Caenorhabditis elegans: one gene and its partners. The protein of the gene in region 1 purifies or fractionates together with the protein of each later gene. This does not show direct contact. Each region holds a gene or a part of one and is shown on either strand. Other genes may lie near its edges.

What was found.
Region 2: the proteins of acdh-9 (region 1) and pbs-1 fractionate together in Caenorhabditis elegans (co-fractionation; one large-scale study listed by BioGRID). This does not show direct contact.
Region 3: the proteins of acdh-9 (region 1) and pbs-5 fractionate together in Caenorhabditis elegans (co-fractionation; one large-scale study listed by BioGRID). This does not show direct contact.

The regions. Positions count from the first base shown.
Region 1 is NC_003280.10:845,617-850,895, forward strand, and holds acdh-9 (Isobutyryl-CoA dehydrogenase, mitochondrial), read right to left. Parts: upstream 2,988-5,279; 5' UTR 2,985-2,987; coding exon 2,918-2,984; intron 2,868-2,917; coding exon 2,767-2,867; intron 2,716-2,766; coding exon 2,543-2,715; intron 2,499-2,542; coding exon 2,283-2,498; intron 2,236-2,282; coding exon 2,073-2,235; intron 1,965-2,072; coding exon 1,732-1,964; intron 1,677-1,731; coding exon 1,574-1,676; intron 1,529-1,573; coding exon 1,355-1,528; 3' UTR 1,248-1,354; downstream 1-1,247. Other genes in the region: F28A10.7 (uncharacterized protein), read right to left, coding at 25-70; F28A10.13 (60S ribosomal protein L35), read left to right, coding at 3,318-3,401, 3,493-3,594; F28A10.5 (Methyltransferase FkbM domain-containing protein), read right to left, coding at 4,062-4,463, 4,511-4,893, 4,942-5,038.
Region 2 is NC_003282.8:1,707,887-1,712,834, forward strand, and holds pbs-1 (Proteasome subunit beta), read right to left. Parts: upstream 1,860-4,948; 5' UTR 1,857-1,859; coding exon 1,779-1,856; intron 1,734-1,778; coding exon 1,534-1,733; intron 1,469-1,533; coding exon 1,018-1,468; 3' UTR 917-1,017; downstream 1-916. Other genes in the region: pugs-4 (C6 domain-containing protein), read left to right, coding at 529-648; K08D12.3 (CCHC-type domain-containing protein), read left to right, coding at 2,381-2,480, 2,680-3,035; rpi-2 (Protein XRP2), read left to right, coding at 3,393-3,514, 3,703-3,814, 4,826-4,948.
Region 3 is NC_003279.8:14,718,251-14,723,467, reverse strand, and holds pbs-5 (Proteasome subunit pbs-5), read left to right. Parts: upstream 1-2,990; 5' UTR 2,991-3,005; coding exon 3,006-3,409; intron 3,410-3,460; coding exon 3,461-3,795; intron 3,796-3,996; coding exon 3,997-4,112; 3' UTR 4,113-4,301; downstream 4,302-5,217. Other genes in the region: sol-2 (CUB domain-containing protein), read left to right, coding at 275-753, 1,192-1,297, 1,342-1,547; K05C4.2 (Protein jagunal homolog), read left to right, coding at 2,129-2,437, 2,487-2,747; Y54E5A.8 (Conserved plasma membrane protein), read right to left, coding at 4,483-4,580, 4,957-5,217. UniProt on the Caenorhabditis elegans protein: Component of the 20S core proteasome complex involved in the proteolytic degradation of most intracellular proteins. This complex plays numerous essential roles within the cell by associating with different regulatory particles.

The DNA.
Region 1 (5,279 bases):
CATTATCAAGACTTTAAAACTTACATTGTTTACAGTTCTGAGCGCTCTCACTGCTGTCGTACCAAGCCATTATAAAAACGTAAAAATTTAATAAATCGGCAGAACTAGAACTGATCAAACTAGGAGATAATGGACAAAACAATTAGAAAGACACGTCTTTTATTTATTATTAGAAAACGTGAGAATATAATCTTTACAACTGCATATGTTCGATCATTACCAGTTGTATCTATCGGTTTTTGAGAACTTGCATCATGTCGCTGTTTGATAATTCAGATCTTGCCGAGAAATGTCGATCATGTAAGTTTTGAAGATGTACCGACACTAGGCGCTTTTGTGACAACAAAAAAGTAGCAGCCGACATTTTAAACCCATTTCTGAAGATAATAAATCTAGCAGCCGAGTCCCAGGGCTGCTCTGCTAAATCGCTTCCCTGCAGCGTCCGACCTCTCACGAGCTTTTTTCTAATGAATCTCTATTTCGGACACCGCTAGCAGCGACTACTGTCTTGATGACGCCTGCAAAAGTACCAACGCTCTCTGGAAAGAATGCTGTGAGCAGACCAACTACTGCGAGTGGTACATGACGGTTGAAGTTGCAATTGCCGTCATTTGCATTCTAGTTTTTCTGTTTTTCTGTGGAATTGTTGGATCCATTGTTTCCTGCGTTTGTACCGGAATTTGCTGCTGTGCAAGAGCTGCTGCTGGAGAAGACGGCGATCTGGAAGGTTTAGAGCTAGATTATGAAACTGAAAGTTTGACAAAAGATTCGGAACTCAAAATGTCTTAGAACTATAAATTTATTTTTTGAAACAATAAATCATTTGAACCCAATTATTAGAATTAGGTAAAAACGTAGTTTGGTAAAATTGTTGCCGACAGTTGACAGGATCGGCTTTGAAACAATTGAAGTTGAGCACCCCAAACTTTTCGGGCAGTTTGGATCAACTCTTGAGTGAATATCTACGACCAACCAATGAATGAAAATGATCCATGTGCTCGTGTTCAAGTCTTTGAATGGCTTCATGGAGTTGCTGAGAATCCACCAAAATTTATCGGTCCTGCTTTGCCAACTGGGCCAAAATATATGAGCCTACTCATTACCGGGATCAGGAACGATGCTTGGTTGTGATGTTCTAGGGACGTGAAGCTCCTATCCACACAGTGAAAAGAAAATTGTGATAGAATATGCTTACAAATAAAAGAGCATTAATTTTTAGTCTTTAATTTCGTTTTTGTGCAGAAAAAAGGAAAATCTAAAACATTTATATTCAATAAAAGTTTGTAATAAATAGCAAAATGCCATGAGCAATTGGAAATACCCATTTCTAAAATTCCTTGGAGACAAATATGGCTCAGGAGCTCCAGAATACATCCTTAGTGAGCAGGTCCCTGCTAATCAACAATCTCATCATTTCATTGGTTCCTTCAAGGATTTGGTGAACTCGGATGTCGCGGAGGTACTGTTGAACCGGATAATCTTTCAGGAATCCGTAGCCACCGAACATCTGCAGAGCTCCGTTGACGACCTGGAACAAGAAACTTTGTCAAATGTCGGCTGAAAAATTACTCACATCGAAACAATTATCAGTGGCGTGAAGCTTCGCCATTGCACAAAGAGCCACCTTCTCCGGATCATCATTGTCTAGTTGCTCCGCGGCGTTTCTAACGATTAGTCTGAAAATAAGTTCAAATTTTTTATAAAAGTTTCTAGTTGACAAGAAAATCTCACCTGCTAGTATACAATTTTGTGGCGAGCTCCGCAAGCTTGAACTGGTTATACTGGAAGTCTGCCAAGCTCTTACCAAATTGTTTTCTATATTTCAAATGTTCAATAGCTAAGTCCATGCTCCTTTGAGCAGCTCCTAGTGAGCAACTCGCAATGTTAATGCGTCCTCCGTTGAGCCCAGCCATTGCGATGTTGAAGCCGAACCCGTCTTTTCCAATTTGATTAGTGATTGGTACCTGGAAAATGGAAAATGGAAATTTATACAAATGCTCAGGGCAATCGTTTCTTTTATCGGAAAACAGTCAATTAATACTTCTTAAAATTAAAACTTCTAAAACGCTCACCTTGCAATCCTCAAAAGTCAAAATCCTTGTTGGTTGTGAGTTCCACCCAAGCTTATCCTCCTTCTTCCCGTAACTGAATCCCTCAGTTCCATCCTCAATCATAAGACAGAAAATTCCCTTGGCTCCCGGAGCTGCACCATCCTGCCGCATCATAACGAAGTAGCTAAATTTTTTACAATATTTAAACAGAATATCTCAAGAAAGACCTACTTATTTGAAGTTCCTGCTCCACTGATAAAAGCTTTCGATCCGTTGACAACATAATAATCTCCTTTTTTGGTAGCCGTGGTTCTGATGCTTGCGGCGTCGGAGCCCGCGTCTGGCTCTGTGAGACAGTAGGATCCGAGCTTTTTGAAAACAGCCATGTCTGGGAGCAAGTCCTCTTTAAGCTTCTCCGGGCCGTAGGTATCCAGCATCCAGGCGCACCTATAAGATATATAGTTCACTAGTTTTTTTTAAAGCTAACTTACATATTATGAATTGAAATATAAGCTGCCGTCGACACGCATCCCATTGAAAGCTGCTCAAAAATTACTGAAGCATGAAGTCTAGAGAGCCCGGATCCTCCATGGTCGCCACTGCAATAAATGGCTCCGAATCCCATTTCTCCAGCTTTCCGGAGCACGTCCATCGGGAGCTCTCCCTGAAAAATTTCAAATCATTTTTTAAAAGAATGTTTTTGGGAAAATCTTACCTGCTTATCCCAATCTGCCATTTTTGGGTACATTTCTTTCTTGGCAAATTGATGGGCGGCTTCCAAAACATCTTCGACGTCGCGTTCGAGTCCAACACCCGCTGAAAGTATATTTTCTTAAAAAATTGAACTTGTAAAATATAAAACCTACGCCTCAAGCAGTAACTGCTGGAATTTCTGAGCCGAAGACCTTTGGAGAGCACATTTCGTAGCAACATCTGCTGAAAATTTGAAAAAAAAATCAAACGAAAATCACGAAAACCGAGAGCACGTGGTAGAAGAAAACTAAAGTGGACTTTTTGTCCGTTTGGCAGGCAAGAGAGGGAGAGATAGAGACGCAGTGAGAGTTGCAGGCAAAATATGAAAGAGACGCAGAGGGGGAAAGTGATAGTTTGATCGCATCGAGACAACTGACGAATAGAAGGAAAGAGAACGGTGGTCAGTGATGTTTCCTCCTTTTGTTTCTTATAGATTGACGTATTGAAATTTGAAATTAAAACTCTGCAAAACAAGAGGGCATAGTCAAGTAGGAATATAGCAACTGGCAAATCATGGGCCTCAAGAAAAAGATGTTTTATAGAAACTGCAAACCTCTTGCAGACACTAGCTTTTCGAAAAAATTGAAAAAAAAATTTGTAAGTTTTCAAATAAAAATCCGATCTGACCCCTTAACCTCTATTTGTTCTATTTAGATTAAATCTCAAGCCTATATGAAAGAGATTTCAGACTTCAATCAGAGTCAAACACCAATTAGTTCTTCCGGATGCAGTCAATGCTAAAACATTTGTGATGCGTCATCAAACATCAAGGCGTCTGCAGCAGCTATGATTTCACCGACCTTTTTCATATGAATCAAAAAAAGTTTTGTATGTTAAAGTTTTTTTTTGTAAAATCAATATAAAATGTTTGGCTTGAACAATCTGTGTTTGGTTATTGTTTCATTTTCAGATGAACTAGTGAGTTTTTTGGGTATAGCTTTGCCTTGAAAAAAGCATAAAAAGGTCAAATCAATGATTTATTATTGTAATAATTTTTTTTCAATATAGACTTTTGATTAAGAAAAAACGAATTCTACTAATTTTCCATCAATTAATAAAAGCTGTGAAACTCAGTGAAAATTAGATGCTGCAAAATTGAGTCAAAAAGAATTTCAACTAGAAACGGATAAAGCCGAAAAATATGAGTACACGTTAATAAGCACTGATTTGGTTTAGTGTCGAAATAAAACCAAGAATTCAATTTACATAAACTTTATTTAAAACACAAATAAAATAAAATAAAAACAAAACAAAAACTCATACAGTTACTGGTGGAATGATGCTGGCCAACGGAGTAACTTCAAACTGTGCCATACAAAAGTCGTTGATGAGACTGTACTCACAGCATGCCTCGCAATATGGGTTAGGGTCCACGTTGAAGATACGGAAGCCGTATTTTGCCATGGTTTGGAGCAGTTCAAAGTGATTCAACGGGGTTCCATGAATTTCAATGAAGATCTGACAAACAAAATAGTCCTTGATCAGTGGCTCCAAAGCAGTGAACTCTCCATTTTCAATATCCATTTTCAACAGCTCAATCTCACTTCTACCAGACTTCTCGAGCATCGATGAGATGGGCAGATTGTCCGGGATTTTTCCTACGAACAATTGGCCATTGATATTCTTGTATGACTCTTTCGTCTTTTCGTTTTGTTCTCCCTTAATTTACAGAGTGAATATTTAAAATTCAAACGTTTTAAACTCACAATATCTGCTCCAAGTATGATGCATTGCTTCCCTGTAGCTTTGTGGATGTGTTCATCGTATTCTATTTGATTGTTAAGTCCCAATGACATCAACGTGCACCCATTTCGAACCATTTTTGGATTGCAAACATACTTTCCCCCGTCTCCTGACTCTCCAATTCTTTCCATATTCTCACAATGAGCTTCCGTCTTCACCTTCGCGTAAAAGTCCTTGTTGTCATTTAACTTTGCTGCAGCAATCAGTAGCTTCCGGGCCTGATCCGCAGATTTAAAAGAAGATTTGCGGACCTCTTTTGCAGAATGGGAAGTGTAAAGAGCTGCTGGGTTAAGCACTCGAGCTTGTCGTGTGAAGCTCGGCAAAGAGCATTGTTCCAATTTACGATCTGAATTTTCCCGTGTAACTAGCATAACTATGATCTTTTGAAACTTACTGATTTGATTGGACGTGATAAAAATAGACACTGAAATAAGAAGCAGCAGAACTAGCAAGAAGATGCTCAAGGAGCTCGAATTTTGTTTACGGAGCATGCCAGTCTTATCTTAAACAGTGACAAGAATCGTTGAGATGACGATGAATGTAAACTAAGGACTGACAGAGAAACGGATCAGTTTTTGGGTGTTTTCACGTGAAACGTGTTTGTGATTTTATAACTTACCAGCCGTTCGCACGCGCCAAGGCGCGTGCTCCGTCTGGCTTGAGATTTTTCCAAAAATTCACATAAAAATTATTGTAGTTTCTAGATTTTTAAAACATATTTTCAGCTTGGTT
Region 2 (4,948 bases), on another chromosome or scaffold:
TCAAATTATCAGCGAAAAATCGGATTTTTAATCGAATTTCTTGGTAATTTGGTCTCGACGCGACACATGTTCCTTAAATGCAAAAAGGTGTGCGCCTTTAAAGAGTACTGTAGATTCATACTTTTGGTGCAGCGGAATTTTCAACGATTTTTTGTTATTTTTCGATTCAAAATAGTATTTCATTTTTAAAAAATTACAAATGTAAAGTAAAAAGTACGAAAAACTATGAAAAATCGATGAAAATCGCGCAGAAACAAAAATTTGAAACTACAGTACCCTTTAAAGGCGCACACCCGTTTGTATTTAACGGAAAATAATCGTGTCAAGACCGGGTAACGCATTTTTGGCTCCAAAATCGATTTTTTTTTTCTTAAATTTCCTCTGATTTTCGAAATTTCGGGGATTTTTTTAGAATTTTAGAAAAAATTACAATTTTCGCTGAAAATCCGCAGACTTTCCGTATCTTTTCAGCTGTGAAAACTAAGAAACCACAAGGAACAATTATTTTTATTTTTCTTAATTTTTCAGCAAAGAGCTTCAATCTCAGCGGCTCCGTCTCTGCTCGCCACTTGCACAAACGTTGGCGGCTCCCAGTACACGTGGACGATCCTTGGCAGAATTTTGCAGTTCGTCGATTGCAGATTTTAATTTCTAATTTCCCCCAATTTTTTTTTTGAATATTCTCCTCCCTAGAGATACTCGCCCATTGCAATATTTTCGTCTTTCCATAACCTGCCACGTGTATATTTTCGCAATTTATGAACTCTTTCTGTTAAATTAACTCTAATAAATCGCTTGACGTTCCACGTGACCAGTTTCCCGGAGGAGAATACCGGTCAATTGCGTAGCTTGGCTAACCAATTACTGCACTTTTGACATAGCAGCGGTAGCAGCAGCAGCATTGAAACGAAAATGATGACAAGTGTGAATTTTCATAAATATTGAGGGAAATCAAATAACTTAGCAGTATAGTCGCACAGGGGAAAATACAATAGAAGATCGAAAAACGAAACGATTTTAGAGGACTTGTTCGATGTGCGGTGGGAAAGAGAGATGTGGAGTTGGTGTCTGCACGAATGGGAATCCTGGTTTGTCGGGACGGAACAGCTCGAACTGTGAGCCGGCTTTGTTGATCACGGCGAGACGGACAACTCCGCCGGAGGATCCGTCACGGAAGGTGGCGAGTCCGACGGCTTGCTTCACGATCGCCTTGCACTCCTCGAGCGTCAAGTTTGGTCTCCATTGACTGTCGAGGAAGCCCTGCACGAATGTGGAACCGGAGCCGGAAGCTGTCGATCGCTGGCGGGACACGAATCCTCCGATTGGGATTGCGTAGACCTGGCCGCCGAGCTCCTCATCCCAGCCGGCGACGAGCACTGAGGCGGAGAGCTGCTCGCGGTAGTTGTAGAGGAATTGGCGGAAAATCTGGCTCGAGCGGTAGATTGTCACTGGCTTGTTCTCTGTCATGCTGAAAAAAGTGATTATTTAAAAAAATTATTTTATTTAATTTTAAAACAACTGAAAATTCCTTACGTATAAACATCAATATGGTACTTGGCAATATCGGCGATCGCTTGAGTGTCCGCTGCAGATCCAGAACGGCACACAACCATATTATCGGTGATCGGGGTGATTTTGTTGGTGGCACGGGAGGTGATGAACGAGCCGGCGCTGGTTCTCGAGTCGGTTCCGACGACAACTCCACCGTTGTACTCCATAGCGATGAGAGTGGTCTGAAAATTGAGCTTTTAGTGGAAATTTCAATTTAAAAATCTCACTCCAGTGCTGATTTCTTCCTGTGGATAGAACCCGATTGCCGGAATGGCTTTGCGCTTCTCATCTCGCATAGTATCCATTATCTGCAAAATATCGACTTAAATTCATTTTTTAAAAGTTATTTTAACGTTAAGAAATCAATAATAATGTATAAAAACAAATTTAGTAGTTATTTTTCAGAATAAAATCATTAAAAACGAGAAACCCGAGCAGAAAAAACATTGTCATCAAATCTCAATGCAGCAAAAATGACGTTTGAATTGGCGCTCCACCGGACTGCCTGCACATCTAACTTTCCTGGCACGCGGCCAACATTCGATTTTGGGACGATCGACACGTTCTGGCCACATTTTCTTTGATTTTTTCTGATTTCGCCGACTTTTTTCCCGTTAAAACTGGTTTTTATAACTAGTTTTCCATGTATTTATTAGTTTTTGTCATGTTAGTCACTGAATATCCATGATTTCTCGCCCTCACTGTCTTGGATTTTTGTTTCTCTGAATTTTCGCCATTTTTGATTGAAATTGTGACATTCAACCGTTTATTTTTTTGTAATTCCTCGCAACTGATAATTTCTTTTTTCTAAAATCAATTATTTGCAGTAATGTCGGACAGAAATTGCTACAAGTGCCAACAGCCGGGACATATCTCCCGCAACTGCCCGAATGGCGAGTCCGATGGTGGACGTAGAGGAGGTGGAGGAGGTGGAGTGGTGTTGAATTTGGGGTGTTGAGTTGATTTAGGTAAATACATTATCTCTTGATTTCTTACCGAATTGCAATAATTTTTGAAGTTCTGGAGAAGTGGAGGCGAAGAGAAATGTGTTTAAGCTGGCGGAGATTAGGAGTTATTTGATGATAAATTTACAGCGGAAATCTCGAGACTAATTTCATGTTATTTCAGGATCCACCTGCTACAACTGCCAAGAGACTGGACACTTCTCTCGCGATTGCCCCAAGGGAGGATCCGGAGGAGGACAACGTGGAGGTGGCGGCGGCGGTGGATCGTGCTACAACTGCGGAGGACGTGGACACTACTCTCGTGACTGCCCATCCGCCAGATCTGAGGGAGGAAGCGGTGGCTACGGAGGCCGCGGTGGAGAAGGCAGAAGCTTCGGCGGACAAAAGTGCTACAATTGCGGACGCTCCGGGCACATTTCCCGCGAGTGCACCGAGAGTGGCTCGGCCGAGGAGAAGCGTTGCTACCAGTGCCAGGAGACCGGACACATCTCCCGCGACTGCCCAAGCCAGACCAACTAAATCAATCATCATTCCCCCCATTTTCGTTGTCTTTTCATTGTTCTGTAACTCGAAATAATGTATTCAACTGAAACTTTCGTTCACTCCTTTTTCCAATAATCCTCTTCCCCGCATCTCAAATATTATATGTGAATGCTGGTTGCAGCTATTATCCCCCATCCCAACCTCTGAACCTCTTGAACGAAAGTGGTAATAAATTGTTGATTAAAGTCGTCGTCTTGCGCTCCTCCTCTTTCGCATCGGAAGTGAAGGCGACGTGATGCTCTCACATGGGTTTCCATAGCAACGCGCGCTCTCGCCGAGCAACTCGCGCTGCTCATTCACTCACTTTCGCATATTCTGCGGGAGCCTCGAACAATGAGCTGTTGTTTTTCGAAAAAGCTTTTTGGGCGCCGGTCTAAACGTGAGGATCGCTACAAGGTCAGCGAGGATGCGGTGCCGAAACCGGAAGAGGGAGGTGAACCTCCAAAGTATTCGTGGTAAGTGGAATTTGTGGTCTCGCAGTGAATTTTTTAAAAAAATTCGATTTCGCTGCAAGACCTGTTGCAATCATTTTGATAGCGCCTCTCTGAGGTTTCTAGGTTTCGTTTCTTTAGATATTTAGGTCTGGAATTCAAAAAAAGATTAAAGGCGCATCGCTGCGGGACCCGAAAAATTAATTTTTAAGGGATCGTCGAGAAAAAGTTAATGCCGAAGACTTTACAATTGCGAATATCCATAACACGACTCTGAAAAAGGAGTCGAAAGATGGTGGACCACTTCAAATGGAGAATTGCACGGTACGGTTTAAAGGCGCACGTATCGTGGCGAGACCCGATAATTTCTTTTATAAACTGATACAATAATTTAAAGTGGAAAAGGAGTCTCAGCAATTTCCGAAAAATAAAAATATCGTTAAAGAAAAGAGCGGAATTTGAAATTCCCTTCCGCATTTTTTAAAACATTTAATTTTCAATAAGATTTTATCAATCTCCCGTATACTAAATTTTCCGATTTTTGATGTGAAAATACGGTACCCGTTCTCGACACGGCAATTTTTTTAAAACACAAAAACGTGTGTGCCTTTAAAGAGTACTGCATACATACTGTAATTTCAAACTTTTGTTATTCCGGGGTTCTTATTAATTTTTCATCGTTTTTCTATCATATAAAAATATGTTTATTTACTTTTTAAAAACTAAAATATTAAAAAAAAACTCTAAATTTTTAATAGATTATGGAAAATCGATAAAAATTCCGCAGCAACAAAATTTTTAAAATACAGTACTCTTTAAAGGCGGACACCCGTTTGTATTTAACCGAAAATTACCGTGTGGAGACCGAATACCGTATTTTCGGCGCAAAAATCGCAAATTTTAACGTCTGGGTAATAAATTTGAAAAACTTTCTTTGAAAATTTAAATATCCGCTGATTTTTTTCAAAATTTCTTAACAATATTTTTTAGAAACATGTTTTCGCAAAATTTTCATTATAAAAATGCAATTTATCTGAAAGTCCGCAAACTTTCGGGACCTTTTCAACATTGTAAAGCATTTTTTTTTGGAATTTTTTTAGAGACATTTTTTAATGCACACGTGTAGTCAGAAAGTCCCATTTCGGTTTGATCTTCGAAAAATGCGCGAGGTGAGACGCAGACATCTCATCTGATTTCGCGCATGGTTAAGAGCGTGTTGACGTCCCAATTTTTTTGGGAAAAAAATTCCCGCATTTTTTGTAGATCAAGTAGATCAAGAGTAATGGGACAGCCTGGGACCACGTGAATGCAGAAAAAAAAACCCTTCAATTCCAGGACTCAACAATCCTGTACCTCTACCAAACATCTCAAGTGATTATCGACGATTGCCGCCATTGCACCATCGTGCTCGGCCCAGCGGCGGGCAGCGTTTTCGTGCGTGATTGCGCGAATTGCACA
Region 3 (5,217 bases), on another chromosome or scaffold:
TCGCTTTTTTTTCCTCAAAATTCAAAAAAGTAGGCGTGGTCTTTTTTCGCTTTCCCATTGCTCAGCTTAAAATTTTACAACCTCTAATTTGTTGGACACGCCCACTATTTTGAAATTGACCAATAACAAAGCGAGAAACTCCTTCTTTTTTCCGCAGACTATGGACGCTTCCGCACGCGGGAAATTCCCGTTTTCCGCAGACTATGGACACACCATAAGAAATTCAAAAAACTTAAAATCTGAAACTTCTACATTATACAATTATAATATTCAGGTGAAATACTGTCACCAGGCTATCCAACCACATATCCGAAGAATTCCACGTGTAATTGGTTGATCCGTGTAGAAGCCCGACAACGAATCTACATTCGAATAGTTCATTTACACTTGGCCCCCACTATTGCAGAATGTGAACGAGCATCACTAACAATAATCGATGGATATAAACATGAAAAATATGGAATTGATCGAAAGGAATCCACGTCAGAGACGTCTGAAGCAAAATTCTGTGGAAGTCAGCTGTATTATGCAGAAGAGGGAATGAAAAGCTATTTATCAAGTGCAAATCGAATTGTTGTACGATTTATTACACAGGAAGGACCACCGTCTTCAATGATTGGGGAAGAGAGGATTGGATTTAAAGTTGTATGGACTGCAGTGGAGGGTCTGATTGGAGAAGGTGATGAGAGTGTTAATGGAAATTCTTGTAAGGATCAATTTATGTGCCATGGGGGACAAGTTTGTGTTGAACAGGTTTGTGAAAAATCAGAATGTTTTCAATGAATCTATATGTAGTTCCTTGTTATTTTTTAGAAATTAACTTGAATCATAAATTCAAAAAAAAAGAGTTGTTTAATTACAAAACTTTTTATTTAATCCAAAATTTTGGGTTAGTGTAGTCACTAAAGTACGCAAACGGAACTACAGTACCCAAAAACATCCCATTTCACGACATTTGCTAGTTTCGAGCTGGAAAATTGATTTTTGAACGGGAGAAAACATAAATTCGACAGTCTGAATATTCGAAAAAAAAGGAGAAATTCTAAAGTTGAACAGAACCTATTTAGAATAAATTTTGTTTTGTAAGAAAAATTAATTAGCCTTTTCGTGATTTGTATTTTTGATATTTAACAAATTGAATTGCCACAATGCTGAAATCCATGTATTTTCAATTACTTTTTTCTACTTCAGGGTCATGGAATTTGCGCTTCACGGTCCCGTCTCTGCATTCACAGCTCTCTCGTTTGTGACGGAATCCATAATTGTGTTGAAGGAGATTTCTCCGACGAGCAACACTGTAAGCTCATTTTCCAGTAAAATCCAAGATCTAAAAATTTCCAGGTTACTCCCGAGAGATAATAACATCGGCGGCACTCGGATTCTCGTTGATTGTGCTCACGATGCTCGTCTTGGTGTGCTGTGATCAGTTCAGGAAGCGGCGACGGCTTCGGGTGATGATTCGGGAACGAAGAGCCGCGTCGGAGAATGGGAAATGTAAAAATATGAATAATAATTCGATTACAACACGGATACAGCCGAACCGGTGACTATTAGAGAGCGAATTGTGAATGTTTTCGCGATTCGCTCGACAAATTTATCGAATTTTTCACAATTTTATAATTTAAAATTGCTTTTCAGTTAATGTAACGGAGCTTTTTTCTTTTATTTTTAATTTGAAACTTTAATAAACATTATTCAAACATATAAATTATTTACTTTCGACAATTTTCAAGTGTTTTGCCTGGCAGAATAGAAAGAATTATGGAAATATTAATTCTTTATCAGCGGGAAAGTAAAAGAAAAATAACGGCAACTCCGTGCGGCGATATTGCGAAAACCGCGCGCGCGCATTGCAAAGGGGCGGAGACTCGTCTTTTTGTCATCTTTTGTCATCACTAAAACTAACTAAAACAAAATTTTCTATATCTTTCGCAGGTTTTCGCTTTTTTAACGAGTTTTCTCATTCTTTCTATGGAAATACTGATGAATGTGTAGAGTTGGTCGATATTGGGACCTGTGAAATTTATACTTTCAGCTCAGATGTTATTCTTCGCTGTTTCTTCTTAATTTCTCTTTTTAATCACTTGAAACTCAATTATATCTTTATTTCAGCTCACTTCAAGCGGGAATGTCATCACGAGGAGTTCGAGCGGCGGGTACCGATGGGACGGACTTCCAAAATCGGCAGAGGGTCGCACAGCACTACCAGGAGAGCGCTCAATACAAGTCGATCCTCAAGTGGTTCTTCGTTCCACACTTCTTGATCCTGGTCTTCATGTGGCTCAAGGTTGGCAGCGAACTCCTCCGAACAAATTTCGGATGGAAAAACGCGTTCTTCGATCGACTGGACATGCCGTCAGCCTACCCATGGGAGTATGTGTGGTGCTTCTCATTCATTCCGATCGTCCTCGCCATCTATTCGTTCCAACGAAACAAAGTAATTTATTTATTGATCAATTTGCCACAAATATAACTTCTTATTTCAGCTCAAGATCCTCCACTACGCCTACTATGCCGAGTTCGTCGTCGGAATCTTCCCATGCATGATCGGGCTTGGAGGACAACTTCCAGAGCTGATGGAGTATGCTCAAGACATGGAGGGAAGCAACACACCGACATTCAAAGGAATCTTCCCGATGGTCATCATATGGTACATCTTCTTCGCGGTCGCACTCCAGATTCACGGATTCTCCATGTACTTCATGCATCACCTTGCCGCCGCATGGGCTCCAGTCAAGCGAGATTAAATTTTCTCCGTTTTGTGATATTATTTTTCAATTTTCCCCCATTTGTTGAGTTGTGTACCTTTTCCTTGTTAATAGTATTTTTATTCAAATTCCTGCTAGTCTCTATTGCCAAATTAATAATTCCATATCTTTTATTTATTTTCTTACTTTTTCTAATTACCGGTTACTGTTCTACAGTTCCGTTGATACTTTTCTGTTTCAATATTGATTGCATTTGTTTCATTTTGTTAAATCAATTTTCAGAATCGAACTCCAAAGATGTGGGGCGAGACATTCGACGATTTCGAGAATGACGAAGGAGAGATGGCAATGGCCAAGCAGAACCTGATCGCCGAGCCGGCTCGAGCTGATTTCACTTTCGCGAAGCTTCCGTTGGGAATCCAGCCCGTCGATTTCATGAAGACTCACTTCGCCGAGACCGCCGGAAAATCCATGCAATTCCGCAAAGGAACCACCACATTGGCGTTCGTCTACGAGCCAGCAACTCCAGCTGACAAGGGAGGAATCATTGTGGCTGTCGATTCACGAGCCTCCAGTGGTGAATACATCTCATCCAAGTCGGTCATGAAGATCTTGGACATCGGAGATCGTATGGTTGCCACGATGGCTGGAGGAGCTGCTGACTGTCAGTTCTGGACCCGAATTGTCGCCAAGTACTGCACGTGAGTTTCAATATTTTCAGCTTCAAAACAAAAATAATTATTTATTTTCAGTTTGTACGAGCTCCGCGAGAAGACCTCAATCACCGTGAGCGCCGCGAGCAAGTACTTTGCAAATACGCTCTATGGATACAGAGGACAAGGATTGTCAGTTGGATCGATGGTGGCCGGATACGATAAGAAGGGACCACAAATCTTCAAAGTCGACTCGGAAGGAGATCGTTGCCAGCTTAAAGTGTGCTCAGTTGGCTCAGGATCTCTGAATGCCTACGGTATCCTCGATAATCACTACAAGCCAAAGATGACGGACGACGAGGCCAGAAAGCTCGGCCTGCGTGCGATCATGCACGCCACTTATCGGGATTCTGGATCCGGAGGCGTCTGCAATTGTACGTGAAGCTTTTTGCTCGGCTATTCCACAAAATGGACCATTTTTCACTAAAAATGGCTTTTATTTTGTCTAAAATTTAAATTTTAGACGATTTTTATTCGAAAAAATTCTTCGGATAAATGAAAAAATTGGTTCATTTTGTGAAATCTCCGGCCACCTTTAATCTAATCGCTTCTATTTTTCATCCTCCAAATTTCAGTGTGCCACATCACGCCAACCGAAAAGATTCGTCTTCCACCAATGGACGTGAGCAAGCTGTGGTACGAGTTTGCCGATGAGCTCGGCAGAGATATCACCTACAACCCAGTCGAGTGATTCAATTTCCCTACGCTGAAATTAATTTTATTCTTCTTACATGTATTTGATGTCTGATCCGATCCCGATTTTTTTTACATACACACCCGTCTTTAAAATGTCATTTATTTCTATTTTTCGTTTCCAATTAATTTATTCTTCTTTTGCTAAATACTCTCTGTACATTAAGTTCTAAAGTTTTCAAGTTCGAAATCCCGAATTTAGGCTTAGAATTTAGAATTTCCCTCGACAACAGGGGTGGCTGGAAGAAACTCTCAATCACATGGCACAAATTGGATTTTTGGAACATTAATATCAAGTAGTTCTAGAGGGATACTGAGATGGAGTTACACTCAAAAGTTTATTGCAATTTTCGAATGTGAAAATCAAGTTAAAGCGATATGTGTCGGCTGGGTGTTGATGACGTGGTGATTATAACAGCTGGAGTCCCATTAGTGTTCCGCCACGCAGGGCCTATTCGTGTTCCAGCTGGAAATAGTTTAATTGTGCTATTATTTGAATTGTTTTTTTCCATTAAAATTGAGAAAAAGTGCGATTTTAAGAGTAATGGGTATCAGTAGGATCTAAATATTTTAGCTACCGTACCCAGGAATATTTTGCAACTTTCTCTAATTTTTTCGACAGCTTTGGATTGTACAGTTTTGGCTGAGAAAGTCAATGGGTAGTTCGAAATTTGCCAAAACTAAGTTTTCCGTAGATCAAACACAAAGGTTGCGCGCCAAATATGATGTTTTGAGTCCTCAATCGGAAAGTACGCAAAGACACACAAAATGCATCAGATTTGACGCGCAAACTTCATTTTTCTTGTTTGTGAAAAAAATATAATATTTTTTTAAAAACTTACAGGACATAGAAGGTGCCACAGATGCCCGTTCTATAAGCTCAATTTGCTGCTCTCTCCGCCTGGGAAGCATCGGACGGCGGCTCTCGGAGCCCACACTATCGCCAGCTTTATTATATATAATGGCACTGGAACGATCGAATTGTGGCTCCTTTTGCATATTATTTATAAAATGGTAACAAGCGGTAAGCATGACGCCCATGAAAATTCCAATGCAGAAGAGTAATCCGACAAGAATCCACGGGAAATCAGATGGCTTGAAGG